Danio rerio: one gene and its partners. The protein of the gene in region 1 purifies or fractionates together with the protein of each later gene. This does not show direct contact. Links are inferred from orthologs where the notes say so. Each region holds a gene or a part of one and is shown on either strand. Other genes may lie near its edges.

The links. The genes of interacting proteins can lie anywhere in the genome.
Region 2: the proteins of dnajc11b (region 1) and immt purify together in Homo sapiens (co-immunoprecipitation; 3 studies listed by BioGRID and IntAct, with this or other methods). This does not show direct contact. The link is inferred for Danio rerio from reciprocal best matches to the Homo sapiens genes DNAJC11 and IMMT.
Region 3: the proteins of dnajc11b (region 1) and armc1 purify together in Homo sapiens (affinity purification with mass spectrometry; 4 studies listed by BioGRID and IntAct, counting the BioPlex papers as one, with this or other methods). This does not show direct contact. The link is inferred for Danio rerio from reciprocal best matches to the Homo sapiens genes DNAJC11 and ARMC1.

Annotation. Positions count from the first base shown.
Region 1 is NC_133186.1:41,983,517-41,989,820, reverse strand, and holds part of dnajc11b (dnaJ homolog subfamily C member 11), read left to right. Parts: intron 1-605; coding exon 606-722; intron 723-814; coding exon 815-970; intron 971-1,078; coding exon 1,079-1,148; intron 1,149-1,259; coding exon 1,260-1,317; intron 1,318-4,324; coding exon 4,325-4,467; intron 4,468-4,557; coding exon 4,558-4,687; intron 4,688-5,891; coding exon 5,892-5,917; 3' UTR 5,918-6,304.
Region 2 is NC_133189.1:18,388,767-18,395,321, forward strand, and holds the start of immt (MICOS complex subunit MIC60), read left to right. Parts: upstream 1-2,653; 5' UTR 2,654-2,814; coding exon 2,815-2,856; intron 2,857-3,945; coding exon 3,946-4,019; intron 4,020-4,327; coding exon 4,328-4,520; intron 4,521-5,824; coding exon 5,825-5,975; intron 5,976-6,555. UniProt on the Homo sapiens protein: Component of the MICOS complex, a large protein complex of the mitochondrial inner membrane that plays crucial roles in the maintenance of crista junctions, inner membrane architecture, and formation of contact sites to the outer membrane.
Region 3 is NC_133199.1:28,685,026-28,691,273, reverse strand, and holds the start of armc1 (armadillo repeat-containing protein 1), read left to right. Parts: upstream 1-2,346; 5' UTR 2,347-2,511; intron 2,512-4,944; 5' UTR 4,945-4,991; coding exon 4,992-5,153; intron 5,154-6,248.

The DNA.
Region 1 (6,304 bases):
GACTTCAACTGTATGTATGTATGTATGTATGTATGTATGTATGTATGCATGTGTGTGTGTGTGTGTGTGTGTGTGTGTGTGTATATATGTATATGTGTATATATATATGTAATTAAAACATTGAGAAGCTATAAATATTACTACTATTTAATAACTATTATATTATCATCCTAAAGTGTTTTAACTGTAATGTGTAGTAATTAAAAATGTAGTACTGGGCTCAAAACTGGTCTTTAGGAAGCTTAAAAGAACATTTATAACACAATAAATTTTGAACATTCACTGTACTCCTCAGTCATAGCTTAATTCATGAGGGTTTAATTAAACACTTTTTAAGACTATCGTGTGTGAAATTTTAGATTTATACTGGCGTAAATTGAGATTGGGATTGTTGGTGATTGAATGGGTGTTGAAGGCCAGCTTGGGTAGCTATACATGAACAAAATTAAGACCTATTAAAAAAAAGATTTAAGACATACAACACAATATTTGTGTAGTTTTGAGACTTTTTAAACCCTAAACATTTGATTTAGAGATTTAACACACTTTAAGACCCTGTGGATACCCTGTACATCTATTCTGATTCATTGACTTGTGTTCTACAGGACAGGCTTCTTTGGCACTGTGGTTGAATATGGTGCTGAGCGCAAGATAAGTCGCCACAGTGTTCTAGCTGCAACCGTCAGCATCGGTGTCCCCCAAGGAGTTTCCCTCAAAATTAGGTTAGCACCGCAAAAAGCAGCACAGCTCAGCAGAACAACAAGCTGCTCATGGGTGGTCCATTTCTGATCGCCATTTTTCATTCTCTCTACAGGTTAAACAGAGCCAGTCAAACATACCTCTTCCCTATTCACCTGACCGACCAGATTTTACCCAGCGCTGTGTTTTATGCCACTGTGGGCCCGCTGGCCATCTACTTAGCTGTCCAGAAGCTTATTATCATGCCTTATGTACAAGCCCATAAGGAACAGTGAGTTATTATCCGTAATTACTGCCCTGAAACCGCCCATTTTCCTGAAACCCCTGTCTTTACCTTGGATTCTCTGATGAAGGGCGCTGACTGTGTGGTTGTTTACAGGGAGTTGGAGAAACAGAAGGAAGATTCTGCTTCAGAAATTGCTCGCAGGAAGCAAGAGGCTGAATCTGCTGTAAGTAAAATAAATGCATAGACAAAACAAATTCTCCCTCTTGCAAACACAAACAATCATTTATCAGGGCAGATGTGTAGGTTTTCGTGTTATTGTTTCTTTGGTTTTCAGGTTTTGTTGATGCAGGAGTCGGTGAAGAGAATCATTGATGCCGAGGAATCTAAAATGGGTTTGTTTTTTTAAACATTTAAATAGATGCAAGTAAAGCTCTGTGAACATGTGATATACAGGCAATTACCAATGATAATTATTGCATTCATTTAAAAAAAAAAAACGAACTAAATCAATCCTAAAGTTATATATCCTATGTGCACAGTGTATGCCACAGATGTCAAACTCAGCTGCGTCTAAAATCGATTACAACCAGAGCTCATACTTTCTTGGAAAACCTAGAAAAGTCAAAAATTTTGACATGGCATTTTTCTGGCCTAGAAATGTTTTGGAAAAGTCATGGGAATTACATTTAGGCTGTACTCACACTATGTACAGTTGCTTTGAACCGGGCCGAAGCATGCTTGTCGCCCCTCCTGTCTCCCCCGACGGCCCACACTCACATTACATTTGGGCCTGAGCACGCTTTCGTCATCGATGATGCGCTATTCAGTAAGAAGCTCTCTCGCTCAGCACAGTGGAGATTTCATTAGTTATATCGTTTTAGGGTGCTTTCACATCTGTAGTTTGCTTCATTTGGTCCAGACCAAGGGCAATAAATGATACATTGTTGCATTTTCTGCCGTCTTTGGGTCGTTTTCACAACACACTGCTGGCTTTGGTCCGAACCAGTTGAAACGAACCAAAATGCAGTCATCTGACAAAATCCACATCTCTCATTGGCCAGATGTTGTTAAACATATTTCCTAAACTGCCTTTTGATTGGTCAGAATTCACATGCGGGAAAATGCCAGTAAACTCCCGCAGGTAAACAAAACCTTTTACTCTGGAGGGATGACTGCGCTGGCTGATTGTATCCCTGCCTTAGACAAACTATACATTACGAAAATTAAGCGTGGCCGCGGCTGGAAAACAGTGTTTAATGCATCACTCGTCACTTCAGGAGGAGACATAAATTAATTTAGCTAAACTGCGACATGGTCATCTTGCGTAAATATTACCAACAATCCATCAGGTAATATTTTCCCCTTTATCTCTCTCTCTCTGTTGGTACAGCACGGACAACAAATATTTTTCCTCCATATCCCATAATGCACAGCGCATCGGCCTAGGGCAGCTGAATTAGTCCAAAACGCGCAGTACTTTTTGCGGTTGGACCTGTTTTAGTACGAATCATATTTTCACCACAAACGAACCGCTCCAGGGTTCGTTTGAAAGTGTACCAAGACCATCTCTTCAAGCAGGTCTCAGTACGCTTATTTGGTCCGCTTTTGGTGCGCACTCGAGTACGATTGCTGCATTCTCACCTGTCCAAACGAACTGCACCAAAAGGGGAAACGAACTCTAGTGCGATTCAATCGAACTAAATATGGCAGGTGTGAAAGCACCCTTAGTCCCTTGATATGCAGTGACACGCCAAACAGATCCGCCATTTTTGACGCTCATAAACAATCATAAAGTCCTCGTGCTGCAGGAATTAGGAGGTTTGCTGAAGGTGCAGTCATTTAGAGCTTGTGCTTAATTCTGTCGTACAGCGCTGCGAAAAGGGGCAGGGTTAAACAATTTGATTAGACGTTAATAAAAGTAGCAATTGCTCTATATTTTAAATGACTAAACTATACTATGGTCTAACGCAATCACGTGATGCGATTTCGCAGGTACAAATTCACCAAGCTTGAACTTTCGAATGCAGTGAAATGCGAAACTTGTCACACACGCTTGTGTTTCTGGTGAATGGATGTCTATGGAGCAAAGTGCAGTGTGATCGTGACTTTACTATAATAGTTTTCCCTACTATTAACAGTTTAACAAACTATTAACAGTGTCTAAATTTAGTTTCAAAAATATCTATATACTGGAATGGGGGTTAGTTGTTTTTACTACTTTCTTGGCCAAAAACATGGTCTCATATAATTATTGCTGTGTAAGCATCATCTATTTTACATAGATTTAAAAATATATTGAAACTAAAGAGATTGTTGTGTGTTTTGTGATATGCTGTAATAAATTAAATGGTTGATTGTTTTTCGTATGATTTACCATGTATACGTGGACCTTACATGAAACATTAAGTCATGAAAATTGACTTGAAAGTCCTGGGAAAGTCAAGGAATTGTTGTAGTAAAACATGCATGAACCCTGCATTACTCAGTAGGTACTACATTTGAATTAGAATTTACTACTCGATCGTTAAAAAAGTATGTTCTATATTGTATGAATGTGAGTTTTATGAATAGAACATACTATATGCGCCATTTTGCATAATCACGTGACCCACCCACATCAGTTCCGTTGCTTCACTCCCATTCATGAATTCAGGATGGTTGGGAATTCTCTCGCGATAAGAGTAACATGCATGGTACTTCTCGCATACTGTTTTTCGAATTCGATGAAATCGGACATACTACTTCACATACTGTTTTTTTTTTGCATACTATATAGTATGGAAATATGCAATTTCGGACGTAGCATTAGTTTCTGGAGGGCCACATCTCTGCACAGTTTAGCTTTAACTAAAATTAAACACACCTGACCAAACTAATTGTGTCCTTTAGGCTTGTTTTACACCTCCAGGTAAAGCCGCGGTCACACTTCACTTATCAGCCCATAGACTTCCATTCATACGCAGGGTTGGAACTAAACTGTGTAGGGCTGCGGCCCTCCAGGAACTGAGTTTGACACCCCTATGCCATAAAAAAAACTCCTGGACCTAGAAAAGGCATAGAATCTTTTTAAATAAAATATTTTTTTAAGTAATGCTCAATTCTGATCTTGTATTTGTTCAACTGGGAATAGTTTTGTGTATTCATTAAAAAAGGTATAATTGTTGGTTAGAAAAAGTGTGAATGGTGGTATTCTGAATAATACTAATGTTTGCTGAAAAGAATGAACTCAAATTGTTAATTTCTTGTCCATGTGTTTCTGATGTAGATATATAGCTGTAAATACAACAGCTTGTTTGGTTTTCCTCAGCCACCTGCTACACTTCCTGTTCATACATCTTGATTTACATTCCTGAATGGATGAATATCGCACTGTAAATATTGTTTTTGTGTTTAATCTAGGTCTCATCATTCTTAATGCGTGGTATGGTAAATTTGTGTCAGACAATAGTCAGAAACGTGAAAGAGCGAAGGTCATTGATGTGACGGTCCCGCTTCAGTGTTTAGTGAAAGATTCTAAACTCATGCTTACTGAGGCATCAAAGGTTAGACATGCAAAAAAATCTACCTGTTCTTTACATCAATGTAACTCGCTTAAATTCTTGTATTAATTAGTTTTGTTTTGTGTTAATCAGGCTGGCTTGCCAGGGTTTTATGATCCTTGCGTTGGAGAGGAAAAAAGTCTAAAGCTGCTGTACCAGTTCAGAGGTGCAATGCACCAAGTGTTGTCCGGAGACACAGATCCTCTTAGGATACCTAAACAATGTGAGTATACTGAAAAACAGGGAATTTTTTATTTTTAAAAGGTTGGTCTTATTTTGCTTTTTTAAGAGTATACCTATTGTAAAATATAATGCAAGTGTGGATTTTTCATAAGTGTCAAAGGTCAGAAAAAACATAAATAAATGTGCACATTATATGTATATATATATATATATATATATATATATATATATATATATATATATATATGTATATATATATATATATATATATATATATATAAATCAAAAATGTTTTAAATAACAAAATGGGAGGGTGGCGGGAGATGGTCTGAAATGCAGGATATGGGTTTGAAATATGGGAGAGTATCTGGGAAAAACCCAGTGTTGGCAGGTATGCTTAAACATACACTCTGCACTTGGACTACTTCAATATTTTTGATAAGTCGTGTTGGGCATTTCACTCTGTCTTGTGCTGAACGCAGTTGACCAATTGCAACAGACTGTCATTGGTTCAATCAGTGTAGATTAGCTTCGCGCTAAGGAGGGGTTTGGGAAAAAATGAATCGCTGAATGAATCATATCCGAATCGCTGGGAGAATTAGGTAAAAATAAATGCACATTGTAAGCACAATATGTACCTTGCATCCATATCAGCCTGTTGTTGGAGATTCATAAAACCAAAATATGACCCTTATAATGTATAATAGGAGCTCTTTAAAAAACTCATGCAAAATGACAAGTGACACTTAAGGGAACAACATGCAGAGGTAGACCAAAAACAACAAAAACTAAGAGCAGTCTACTGAGAGAAAAGGCACTGTCTGTATTTCATCAGCTGCCTAAATATTCATAGTGGCGTTAGACATTTCAACTCTTCGCAACGTTCAAACTCTTCGTTTTGTGTGGGTCAGGATTGAATTCTCTCCAGACTTTGAGGAGCCTTGATATAATGTACCTGCTTGTAATTTGCATGATAAGTGGAGATATTTTATTTCACTGATTTTTATTTGCATAACAGAAGCGCAACCAATTTACATAAAGGCAGTATATGATCTTTAGTGGTCTTCAAAACATCTACTTTGACTCTAAAACACTGTAGTTGTATCTGAAGCCTGTAAGAATTTGATTTGATTGTTGACAAGATGCTGTTTTATGCGCCATGAAAGCAAATCCACTTGCATTTTAACTAAAATGTGGCACTTTCATTCAAAGATGGTGTTTTTGTTCTGTCTCTTTTCATTCAGCTCATAGAATTGATTCAGAGACATAAGGATCTTCCACACATTGGAAGAAAGCACAGATGAACTCAATGGACATCAAAGGAACATAAAGGGACAGTCAGGCATCATGTGATCAGAAGGGCTGCTCCTCTTCATTTCCTGTAGTCACCCTTGTATCACCTTCGTGTTGTCTATGTCAAATCCCTTTACATACATTGGATGAATGGGTCAAACATGTCTCCTTAAAGCCCTGCTCACACTGTGCGATTTCAGCCAGATTTGGTCCTCTGAGACAAATTTGGGAAATCCTAAAAGATTCTAGAAATCCTCGGCTAAATTCTGTGGTCTTTGATTGATGGTTTAACATGTTCGCCAAAAGTCGCATAAAAGCATGTGCGATTAAATCTTCCCTCCAAAGAAGTTCTGGCAGATTCATA
Region 2 (6,555 bases), on another chromosome or scaffold:
AGTCATTAATTAAATTCATACTTCCCAATATTTTTCAATAAAATTAAAAGAAAATGCTAATTTATGCAAATTATAACATACTTAATGGTAGATTCAACACACATAGTTGAAAAGCTTCTGTTTTAGCGCCCACACATCATACATCCCAATAAAACAAAAGAAAAATCCATATGTTCCTGTACCTGAGAATCACAGTTTGTGTTCAGTGTGTTTCCAAATGTGAGTAATCTGTCTAAAATTAATCGGGGAGAATAAGATTCTAGGAGATGTGAGCCTTTATATAAGGTTTACTCTCTGGGCATGTAAATATGATTAAATTTTTTTTTGTAAGGAATTACAGCTTTACATTACTTGAGTAAAACGGCCCTGTGCAATTGAAAATGGCTTAGGCACTGAAATGCAATTAAAGGCTCCATCTTCAAATAAAGTTGTCTTGTGGGAGCATGTTTTGTTATTTTTAACAGCATTTTGCCATTAACACTAATAAAGACTTTACACTTTGACGTTTGCTGTTTGTCAGGGTGTAAAAGTAATTTGGGAACCTTTACCTGTAATGACATTAAAATTCAATAAAGTCCTGCTTTCTCACCAGTGGTATAGTATCTATGAATTTACTTTTTGAAATAAGTTAAATTCTACCATTTTAGAGCATGTTACACCAATAATCTATAGGGGGCAAATATGTCTATATCAAATGTTTCTCAACCACTTTCCTGGAGGCCCACCAGCACTGCATGTTTTAGATCTTTCCTTTGTCTGTCAGACCAGTTACCGGTCTTTCAGTCTATTCCAATGAGCAGGGCCCGGTTTTTTAAAAGTAATCCACTAGGATTTTGGATAAGGGATTGGAACAAATCTTGAAAATGGGTTTTTCAAAAGAAAAAAATGGATTACTAAATCAGATTAGATTATGTAATCCAATCTTGATTTTGATCCGGATCAAACCTTGAGTTTGGGTTTTTCAGACCTTTTTTGTAGGATTTGGATCACTTCGATCCAAAAAAATCTGGATTAAACTCAGAAGGGTGGATTCAGCATGGATTTTATGCCCAAAATGTAATGAAAACTTTAAAAAAGTATCAAATAATTACTATATTTGGATCATGCAGTATCTTACAAGATATCCTATTTATTCATAAGGTTTTAATTGTATTTGTTCATTCATTAGGCTACAGTGATTAGGTAGGCTTTATCGTATTCAGCCTTTCAGTATAGGCCTACAGCAAAGTAGAAAGAGTTTGGCCTCATAAAATAATCCCCCAAACAGCTATCTAAATTGACTAAAAACAAGAAATTTGATTCTGTCACTAATTTATAAATATATTAATCACAATGGTAAAATATTTTTCTTTTCAGAATATTTATTAGGGATGTATGCAATGATTACAGAATAAACAAAACAAAAAAAAATGCAAAGAATGAGAATCTCAATTTTTTTAAATCACTTTTAACTATTGCAAAAAGAGACTGAAAGGGCAGAAGCACAACTTCATCTGGCAGAGGAACAACTGACTCTGACTGACCAAATTGCAGCAAACCAAGGCCATACTTGAGATTCGCCTTCTAGCTGGTCTCTCCTCATCAGACGAGGAAGACTGAAATTATTGTGAAGGTTAGACATTAAGTCTTTTTTTTTTTTATTCAATACATCTATATTTGAAACTTGTTATAAATATCCTCAGTGTACAGTGTTTGTGTTGTAGGTCTCAGATGAGCGTACTGCTGGAAGAGGATAGGGTGGGGTTTTTCTCGTTTTAAATTTTTATTTATTTATTTTTTTTAAATGTGTGTGTTTTAATTTCAAATAAAAATAAAGTTATATTGACCCCACACTGGCCATTCTACTTGTTGCACTTTAAATATCTATAGTTCTACATTGTGATTTCCCATCCTGTTTGAGCACTGGTTATCCACATTTAGTGATCCTGAAAATTTCCCATCCGGATCAGATTGATCCAATCCGATGTTGCTTTGAAAAACTCAAATAGTAAACTGGATTACGTGATCACGGATCGCAAAAACAGGATTACTAAATCCAGATCTATTTTATTAAACCTTTTGAAAAAACGGGCCCTTATGATCTGTGTGTTTGGTTAAGGGAGACATGGAAAATGTGGAGAGACTGTGGTCCTCCAGGAACGTGGTTGAGAAACACTGGTCTATATTACATAAATCACACATAACCTACACAGACATAGATTTTAGGTATATATATAGCCTTATATCTCCTACAATAACTGATCATGGTAGCATCCACAATATAGTACTGTATATAATAAAAAATAAAGTTACTAAAGTTATGGGAACATTTCACTGATCTATCTTGTATAGACAACAATTAATATTGAAAAAAAATTACTTATTGTTAAATTTACAAAATACATTAGCTAATTTTTACTAATGGGACCTTGTTGTGAAGTGTTACTAAAGATTATTGAGAAAATGCCATATGCCAGTAATTGTCATTTGCAAGGGCTACTTACCTATATTTCAGCGATCTCAACGAAAGCTCCAAGCTATCTATAATAACAATAACCATGTATTTACTAAAAGTATGAGCATATTTTCAAATAAGAAGCAAATAAATCTAATTATTTTCCGTCTTTACTGTGAACTCGTGACGTATTAAGCACGTTGGGTGTGCCTACCGCGCATGCGTTGCTCTGTCACTACGTTCACCGCCAGTGCTGGAGCTAATCTACAGTGTGCTGGGACGAAATTGCTGTTAAGGTTGTTCACTTTTATGATGTGTTGCTGAAACCAGTGGCATATTCCTGATCTTCAATCCAACACTCAGTATCCGAAGTGGCAAGCATGCTGCGCGTCTGTTGGAAAGGGGCACATGCAGCAGCGCGGGTAAGTTTCTTCTGCTTGAGCGGTCATTCAGTGACCCACAGCGAGGCCCTGCGTTTTAAAGCGTACAATTAAACTGCGGATTATCATAAACCCTACATTATTTATTTTATTAACCTATATTTATTAAACTTCATAACGAGTTTATGGTTTTATTTGTTGCGACTTGTTATTTGCGGTTTAGATGGAACACAGTGCTAGAAGTGCTGCTGTACGTCAACGACGTAACGTTGAGAAGAAAGAGGCGTTTACAGTTTGATAGGCAAATTCTTTCAGCCAATGAAATGTCACTATTAAGTGAGTGACTGCTTTCTCCACCAATAAACTACCTCATGTGTACGTCTGCGTAAATGTGGGCGGGATGTGTATGATTCATTTTTTCTGTCACCCGGATAACCAAGCTAGTCAACAGCTGTCTGAAAATCTTAGTTTTACATGAGTTCATGTCTGTTTTACATACAATTGTGTTTTACCAGAACCATTTTCATGCCAAGCGTATTATGATAGAGCTGTAACGCTGTTCTGTAAACACCGTGAAACACACGTTTTGTCCAATAGAAGGACGTGACCTTGCCAGGGAAAGTTCAGAAAGTTTCCAAGACAAACGCTGCCAACATGTCTATTGCGTTTCTATATGTTAATTAGTCAAATTAACAATTGTTAATATGTATAACAGCTGTTAAAATAACCAACATCTAAATGTATACGCATTAAAGATTCATTTTAAGCATTAAAGATTCAAAAGTTCATTCATTCAAAGTTCATGTTTTGAGAAACCACCAACACACACAAATTCCAAATAGAAGTGTTATTATTTAGAGCATACAAAAACAAACAAACATTAAATTAGCTCAAAATAAAATATCCGATCTTTACAGATATACAAACTGCACAAAAAGATTACCAATTTGAAACCCGCTGAATAGCATTCGCATTGGAAAGATGTGGCTCTTTGTATTTAATTAACGTTTATGTAAGACAATGCTTGTATTTAGTGTAAACAATGCTATTTTTTATGTACTTAATATTTTAATTCGTCATTTATTTTGTTGTAGAGCATGTGAGATGATTTGTTTGTTTGTTTCTCTGCAGCAATGTGTGTGTGGTAAAGTGAAGGCCCATCCATTACAGCACTGCCGCAGATACACCACAGCAGGAAACTCTGGGTATAAAATCAAACAATTAATTTCCACTTAAACAAAAGTTTACTGTGATTTGTTTATACGCAGATTTGTTTATTTTTCTTGTAGTTAATTGGACAATTATTAAATGAGTGACTTCTCAATCATACATTTACACTTATCCATTTGGCAGAAACATTTATCTAAAGCATATTACATTTCATTTATGCTGCATATGTAGACATTTTTTCTATAATGTCATAGTTGTCAGTCCCTATTTTGTATCACTTGAGCTAAAGAAATGTTTTTATTTATTTATTTATTTATTTATTTATTTGCTTATTGTTCTGCAGATCCTCCGCTGGGAAAATAGTGGCTGCTAGTCTTTTAACAGTGGGTGGTGGTCTTGGTGGGACTATCCTTTATGCCAAATGGGACCCAAAATTTCGGTCATCTGTAGAGAAGAGTGTTCCCTATTCGGATCAACTATTTGACATGGTGCTAGGGGCACCCCCTTCTCCACCCGTACCTATACAAAAGAAACCGGTAAGTGAAAGGGTTACGAACAACCAAAACACATTTTTTGAGCTGTTGACAGTCATATATGTGTCCCATGCTGCTAAAACCACTATTTGGACATATATTACACAAAGAAGTGAAAATAGGGTGTTTGTGCGTTACTTCAAGCAAATTCATTGTTCCAGTTTGAAACAAATTTATGAAGCTGCGTCACGCCGATTAGATCCTTGCATGTATTTCAGCATAGAGACTGGCTTTCTATACCTGGGAGTACTTTGTGACCTCTCTGAGTGTGCTGCATTCATTCATGACAAAGACTTGGTTCAAACCAAACAGTGCGCTCTATTGTGTATGCGGTGCAACTTCATTAATATGCATGATAGCTTCGAAAAAGAAAGAAGAAGAAAACAAGTGGGAGAAGAAGAATTGTTACCCATATGAGAGATACGGGTCATCTGTGTTGCGTTTTTAAATGTCCTGCAACGAAGGTTTTGTTTTCATTTTCCCGCTATGAGAGCGCAGCTGGACTCGCATGTAGATTACACTGCACGCAACACGCGGCAGAAATACGTTTGTATGGAACATTTTTTACTCGAGAGCTTGGCTTTCCGCATTTGCTGCTTGTCTCCTTTTAAAAAAGACGCAGCTCCAGTTGGTGTTGATTCATCTGTCTTTTTATTTTTTATTTTTTTATTCAAATGGCAAAGTTAATTCGTATCGTCAGCAGTACTCTTTCAGTGTTTAAAGACAGACCTTAGTCAAAATCATTTCGAAGCTTACAGTACATTAATATCACTACAATATTATGGACTGAAAGATCTGCTGTAAATGCTGTTCTCTGTAAACATGTAAACATTAAAGACCGTCATGTTAATTTCGATGCATTTTGTGACAGGATAGTCTACACACAAACGGCTTTCTGACGACGTGCGGTATCAAACATTCAACAGTCATTAAACAAAGTCTCTGTCTTTCTCCTCTGCATCTGTGTGTTTCTTTTGCCTCAGTGAAAATCAGCGTGTGCGTAAATGAAAAATCCCATTTTTATTCAAATCCTTCCATCTTTCCCTGCCCCGTCACTCCCACCTATACCGCGCTAGACACACCCACTTTCCTGACTTTTTCCAAACTAGAGATGTGAAAACACGCTGTTGAAACGGGGGTTTCATGGCCCTTTAAAATCACTTTAATTCTTAAAGAAGACACAAATAATATGCATTCTGTAATTAGATTTAGCTATGCAACTATGTGAGCATATTATTATTATTATATAACTGATTTTAATGACAGAATCAATGATGTTGGCTAATTTCGTATTTTTATTGAATTAGGAGACTGTCAAACCACTGCAAATCTCTTCATTGTCAGAAGCAACTAAAGACTCCAAACAGCCTAAAGCTAAAGCCAAGAAGTCTGATCCAGCACCTCCACCTTCTGTAGAGGAAGCTCCAGCACCAGCGCCAGCACTTCAGTCACTGGAGGGTAAGTGGGACTTGTACCTTTCTCAAGGCTAATTTATACTTTTGCCCAGTGCCACGTCGCAAACCTCTTTTGAATGCGCACGCACCTCACGAAACGTACATGCCTTTTATACTTATATAGAAGCCCACCGTGAAGTCAGACAGATAAACAGAGAAGTAGAAAGTTTCCCGAACCACGTCATATCATTAACATAGTTCAACATTTTTAAATTTGTTAGTTTTATTATTTTTTATAATTTATGTTAATGATTATAAAGATTTTTAAAATCATTCAAGATTTTTTAAATCATTATTTGACACATCACTTGCTTTTGTTTATATCTCGGACAGTTCTACCTATTAAAGGTAAATATCAATGACAACAGAACATGGGTTGCTCTACAAATATATTTTTTGTTATGGCATAAATAAAGGCCAAAAAGAAGTACATTTACTAAAAAATACTGACATTTTTAATAGAATAAGTCCACTTCACAATTCACACATTATTGTTACTGTCTGGCTAGTTTGTGTCCTCTGCTTTTATACTAAAAAGGCAACACTGGTCCAATATTACCTTTTAATCATTAACTTCACTTTTG
Region 3 (6,248 bases), on another chromosome or scaffold:
GTCAGCGTCGTTTCGCTCAATAACTGGAATTTTTATAATTGTTTGTCTTCAGTTTAAAGAGAAAACACCTGCCTTTTTGTTCTGTCTACTTAAATTGCCTTCGTTTTATAATATAAAGCAAATGCGTTTTACTAATGTCCAATAAACACACACATATATAGTATTTTTTTTTTTTTACTTGTTTGCTTCATTCATTTATTCATTTATTTTCTTTATGGCTTAGTCCCTTTATTAATCCGTGGTGGCCACAGCATATGTATCATTTATTCATCTCTGGGAAACATTAGACACTCATTCACACTCATACAGTACAGACAATTTAGCCTACCCAATGCACCTGTCTTTGGACTGTGAAGGAAACCAGAGCACCCGGAGGAAACCCACGAGAACGCGGGGAGAACATACAAACTCCACACAGAAACGTCAACTGACCCAGCCGAGACTCGAACCAGCAAGCTTCTTGCTGTGAGGCGACAGCACTACCTACTGTGCCACTGCGTCGCCCACTTGCTTTCTTGTCAGATGCTTTTGATTTGTTACTCCTACAATACAAAAAATATTAAATGGAAATGACACGTAAAATGCATTAAATAAGACTATATGCAGATAAATACACACACACACACACACACACACACACACACACACACACACACACACACACACACACACACACACACACCAAATCTGAAATTAAATAAGTGTAATATTATATAAATTATAATAAATAAACTAGTACACCTGAGAGCACAATAACCATAAAAAGAAACTTTAAGATTTGTTAAAGATTTGTTCATTTGTAACATTTATTTATTTTATATAATACAAATAAAAGCAGGCATTTATTTAGAAAACTATTAGTTGTAATTTGCTAAAACTTGATTAACCAGAATTAGATAACTAAACAAAATGTTGGGCGAAGCAGTAGTGCAGTAGGTAGTGCTGTCGCCTCACAGCAAGAAGGCCACTGGGTCACTGGTTTGAACCTCGGCTCAGTTGGTGTTTTTGTGTGGAGTTTACATGTTCTCCCTACGTTCGCGTGGGTTTCCTCCGGGTGCTTCGGTTTCCCCCACAGTCCAAAGACATGCGGTACAGGTGAATTGGGTAGGCTAAATTGTCCGTAGTGTATGTGCGTGTATGTGTATGTGTGGATGTTTCCCAGAGATGGGTTGTGGCTGGAAGGGCATCCGCTACGTAAAAACGTGCTGGATAAGTTGGCGGTTCATTTCGCTGTGGCGACCCCGGATTAATAAAGGGACTAGCCAACAAGAAAATGAATGAATGAATGAATAAACAAAATGTTATGTCATTAAATTTAATGACAAAATGAAATGACAGGCAGTTGTCGCGGTGGTGCAGTGGGTAGCATGTTCCCCTCACAGCAAGAAGGTAGCTGGTTCGAGTCTCGGCTGAGTCAGTTGGCATTTCTGTGTGGAGTTTGCATGTTCTCCCTGTGTTTGCGTGGGTTTCCCCCACAAGTTCAAAGACGTGGTACAGGTGAATTGGGTATGCTAAAATTGTCCGTAGTGTGTGTGAATGAGTAGGTGTGGATGTTTCCTAGTGATGGGTTGCGGCTGGATGGGCGTCTAAAAACATATGCTGGAAGTTGGTGGTTCATTCTGCTGTGGCGACCCCAGATTAATAAAGAGACTAAGCTGAAAAGAAAATGAATTAAGAAATTAATGAAATGACAGGCATATATATTTATTATTTTAATGCATTGTATCTATTGTCGAGAAGAATATGAACTAATATTACTAACTAATACTAATACGACTAATAAAATATTATACAACTAATATTACGACTAATACTACGACTTAATATGTAAATAAGTCTAAAAGAAAATAAATGAAGAAATGAATGAAATGACAAGCATATATACTTATTTTTAATGTATTGAATCTACTGCAAATACACATATTTATTTAATTAAAATAGTACTAAAATGATATTCTTCTATATTCATTCATCTATATGCATCTAACAGTACAATAGTTTTACGCATTGTAGCATTGTGTAGTACTGTATTTTTCACATATTGTGTATCGTTAATTTGTCATATTAAATAATACAAATGTATTATACTTTTTATTATATATATATATATATATATATATATATATATATATATATATATATATATATATATATATATATATATATATATATATATACCCATGCTATTCTTTTTTTTAGCTTTATAATGAAAAATAATGTATCCTTTAGTAAAACCCCTTCTGATTAGGTAAAACCGCACGACGTCATACCTCACCTCCTCCAATAAGCTGGTCTAAATTCAGGAAGTGTTACACGGTCTGCTAAAAAAGCTCCGCAGATAATGGCAAAATAAACCGGACCAGAACAGCTGGTCACACAGAATTTTAACTTCGTTTACTGTCGTCCTCATATCCAGTCTGGTTTCCGTCAGCAGTTGATTTGTCGGTGGTTTTGGATCCAGCAACTGGACAGGAATCATCCGAAGCGAGGAGCGTCCTGGGCGTGTTTGCTGTAAGGTTATGCGTGGACAACACTCACTGTCACAACACACACAAGGTTAACTAGATAGAGACAATCACTTCAAACCTAAACACACCGACTAAACATTTACTAGCAGACGATAGCACATATTTACGTGTGTTCTGATGGAAACAGATAATACATTCTCTTTCTGTCTTATAGCATTGTTATTGTTCATAGAAATACAATAATATTCACGTGTATTGATGTTTTGTGGTCTAAATATGAATGGGGAACGAACGCCAAATGTTTGTTTTTATAGTCTTAATTGTGTCTCGTATGGAAGCTCGGATTGTCATTGTCTTGATGATGCCGTGTTAATGTTAGCCGGTTAGCAGCACAGGCCCGTTTAAAGGCCTCGCTAGCTGTGTTGTACTGGGGGAATCAGACATCATGACCATTATGGGTCACTCAGTTCACCGGCAAAGCCAATAACAAGCCACGTGTTTAAAGATCAGCGGTCAATCGATAGAAAAGGACGCACGAAAACAAATGTGTGTTGATTAATGACGTCAAGCAAAAATATTGGCGATAAAGTCAAATGTTTAGTGTTGTTAAAGTTCTGTTGTACGTAATGATGCATTTTTTTAAAAATATGCAAAAGTTAATTTGTGAAATACAGTAATGGTCATTTTATTTTTTATATAATGACATGTCATTTATACTTATGATAATAAAGCTTAATATAATCTTTGCTCCAGACTTCAATGTCACGTGATCTTTCAGAACTCATTTTAATGTCATGAGCACTTTAGTTAATATCAGTTTTGTGTTGGTTAATGTTTTTGGACGAGCAGTGAGAGATTTTGTTGACAATGTGTATTTAATTATTAGTGTAATGTAATGAATTGCCTAAATGGTAAAATAATGACAAGTTGCACTTAAAAAAAACTGTTTTAAAAATTGCATATTTTAATGACATTAAATTGGGTAAAATGACAGTAAATAATTTATAATGTTACTAAAAACTATATTTCTTTAGAAGGCTGTTATTCAACTTTCTATCATCACAGAATCCTGAAAAAAGTTAGCGCTTATTTATTTATTTATTTTAAGAATTATTTTCAACATCGCAACAGTGGTAGTGGTATCTCATGACAACAAGCACAGCAATTTATGTTCGACATTCAAATGCATACAAATGCTTGAAAGTAAAGCCAGAAATAAAATTAAATTATAAAACCAAATTTAGAAAGACAGAGTCACTGTGTGCCCTCAAGAAAATTCCAGAGGGAGAAACAAATGCGGCAGAACACCTCAGAACTCTGATGTTAATCGTAGGTAATTTTTTTTAGTGAGGGAACCAATTGCAACAAACCATTTAAGTTAAAAAACTAATCATAATGAGTACTGTGAACTTAATCCATTTAGGTAAATGAAGCAATTTGAGCACAGTAAAACCCAATAAATGAAGAGAATTCAAACCAACCGAGTACTGTAAAACCCAATAAGTTAAGCAAACGTTTTTGCATTTAAAAAAAAATAATTTTGTGAATCTCTTTCCTGTACATTTTGATTTTGTCACATACCAAAATACATGCATCACTGTGCCAATGTTTATCTTACATTTGAAACATAACTGAGAACAGTTGGGAAATATTCTATGGAGGCGAACTGGAGTTAAATAAATCCTGTGAATACATATATGATTTTGTTTATATTGCAATGTTTTTAAATTGATTTAAGCTGCAAAAACTGTTTTCAAAATGTATTGCCTGAACGCTTCATAAAAACTGAAGATATGGAAAAACTTGACTGCTAGTGTGTTAGGGCTTGTGATTTCCAAATCAGCCCAAATCGGCATGTTCAATTAATGTTCAGTAAATATGCTATTTTAAATGAAGGGTGCATTACTTATCAACTGAAGGAAACACGCTTATCTACTAACTATAAATATTTATTGAAAAAAAAGTGTTGAACAGCTAAAATTAAAACACACACTGCCTAAAAAGAACAATCTAAAAATTACTATGAAAAGTAATTGAAAATATTGACCAGGAAAAATTAGATTGATTATAGGTTCTGAAGGTCGATTTTTGATTACTTTTCAATTAATCGCCCCACCCTATAGTGTACATATGACAACAATGAAAGAGTATATATTTGTACTTTATTATCTTTTTCCAATATATTTATATATAATCCTAATTTTAAAGCAATCCAGTTTATTGCTATTATTTCTAATGTCACCATTATCAGACATTTGATTTTAAGGCTTTCATTAAAAATATGTTTATCATCATTATTATTATTATCTTCATCGAAAAAACCACATCATATGAATGCTTCAGGCAAACCAGTTTATACTAACTTGTATTTTTAAAGACAGATTTTAATGTGTGTTCTGTCATGAATGAAAACTCTTCTTGTTTACAGAAATAAATCAAGCTGTTTTATAATATTAATATTTTTTATTTACCTCAGCTTGGAGCGGTGTGTTTTCTGTGCATGGCCCTTGGAGTGGGAGCAGCATGAGCGGGGAGCCTGATGCCTTGGCTGTGGTGAATCAGCTGAGGGACTTAGCTGCCGACCCCCTCAACAGGAGAGTTATAGTTGAAGATCAGGGCTGCTTCTCCGGCCTCATCCTTTTTCTCGACCATCCCAATCCTCAAGTCGTCTACTCCGCACTCTTGGTAAGGTCTATTTGCTGTTAAATGGGTGGTTAATCAGCTATTTTTCAAGACATCCTTATGCTTATGGGGTGTAAATTAATAAAAATTTTTGGTTTTATGAAGCCCCTTCCTCAGAAAAATGTAATTGGTTAGTTGGCTCAGGGTGTTCTGCTTAGCTATCCACCTAGGGCACAATGTATTAAATGTCTCACCGGGGGGCGTGGTTTATGCAAATGTAGCGTTTGTGAGGTCACAATCCCAGGAACAAAAAGGTTTTGCAAAAAAAAAAAAACCTACTGTAGTTGAAATTTTATTTGAATCAACTTTTAATTAGTTTAAAGTTCTTAAACTATTAAAAAACACCTGTTCTTGTCTTAGAACAATTTTTTAGGATAATCTTTTTTTATCCACTTTAAATGTTGACTTCTGTACTTGCAATTAACATTCATTCATTCATTCATTCATTTACTTTTTGGCTTAGTCCCTTTATTAAGCAGGGGTTGCCACAGTGGAATGAGCCGCCAACTTTGTTTGGCAAACAAAGCTTTGTTTATGCAGCGTATACCCTTAAAGCTGCAACCTGACACTGGGAAACATCCACACACTTGCACAGATTCCTGACTTGTGTGTGCTAATATGTTTAACAGTATATAGGGCTGGGCGTTATATTGAGTTCTGGAGATATATCAATATGATTCCCCAACACGATGCAGGATTATCCAATGTCTTTCATTCGATATGGTTTGAGTCCACACGTGCGCATTCTGTGCAAAACAGAGCTCTACAAGGTAGCACGTGAGCTCCACTTGCACAAATGAGCGCATGCGCAAATGAATGATTTATTCCCTGAGTCATACAAAAGATTTGTTAAAAATGAACAAACGAATCATTCAAGAACGACCCATCACTGTCTTGACATTGAGGAACATGCAGTGCCGATGTTGTTTAAAATCTGATTCCCCCTTGCGTGCACATGCGTCGCACAGTGCCTACAGCTGTCATTTTATTGCCTTTTATCGATCATTTCTTCTGCAGTTGACAGCACGAACGAATATAGAAGCCTTGTCAAATTGACGAGCAGCACCTGAATGTGTTCAACAGAATTAAAACGCCAAA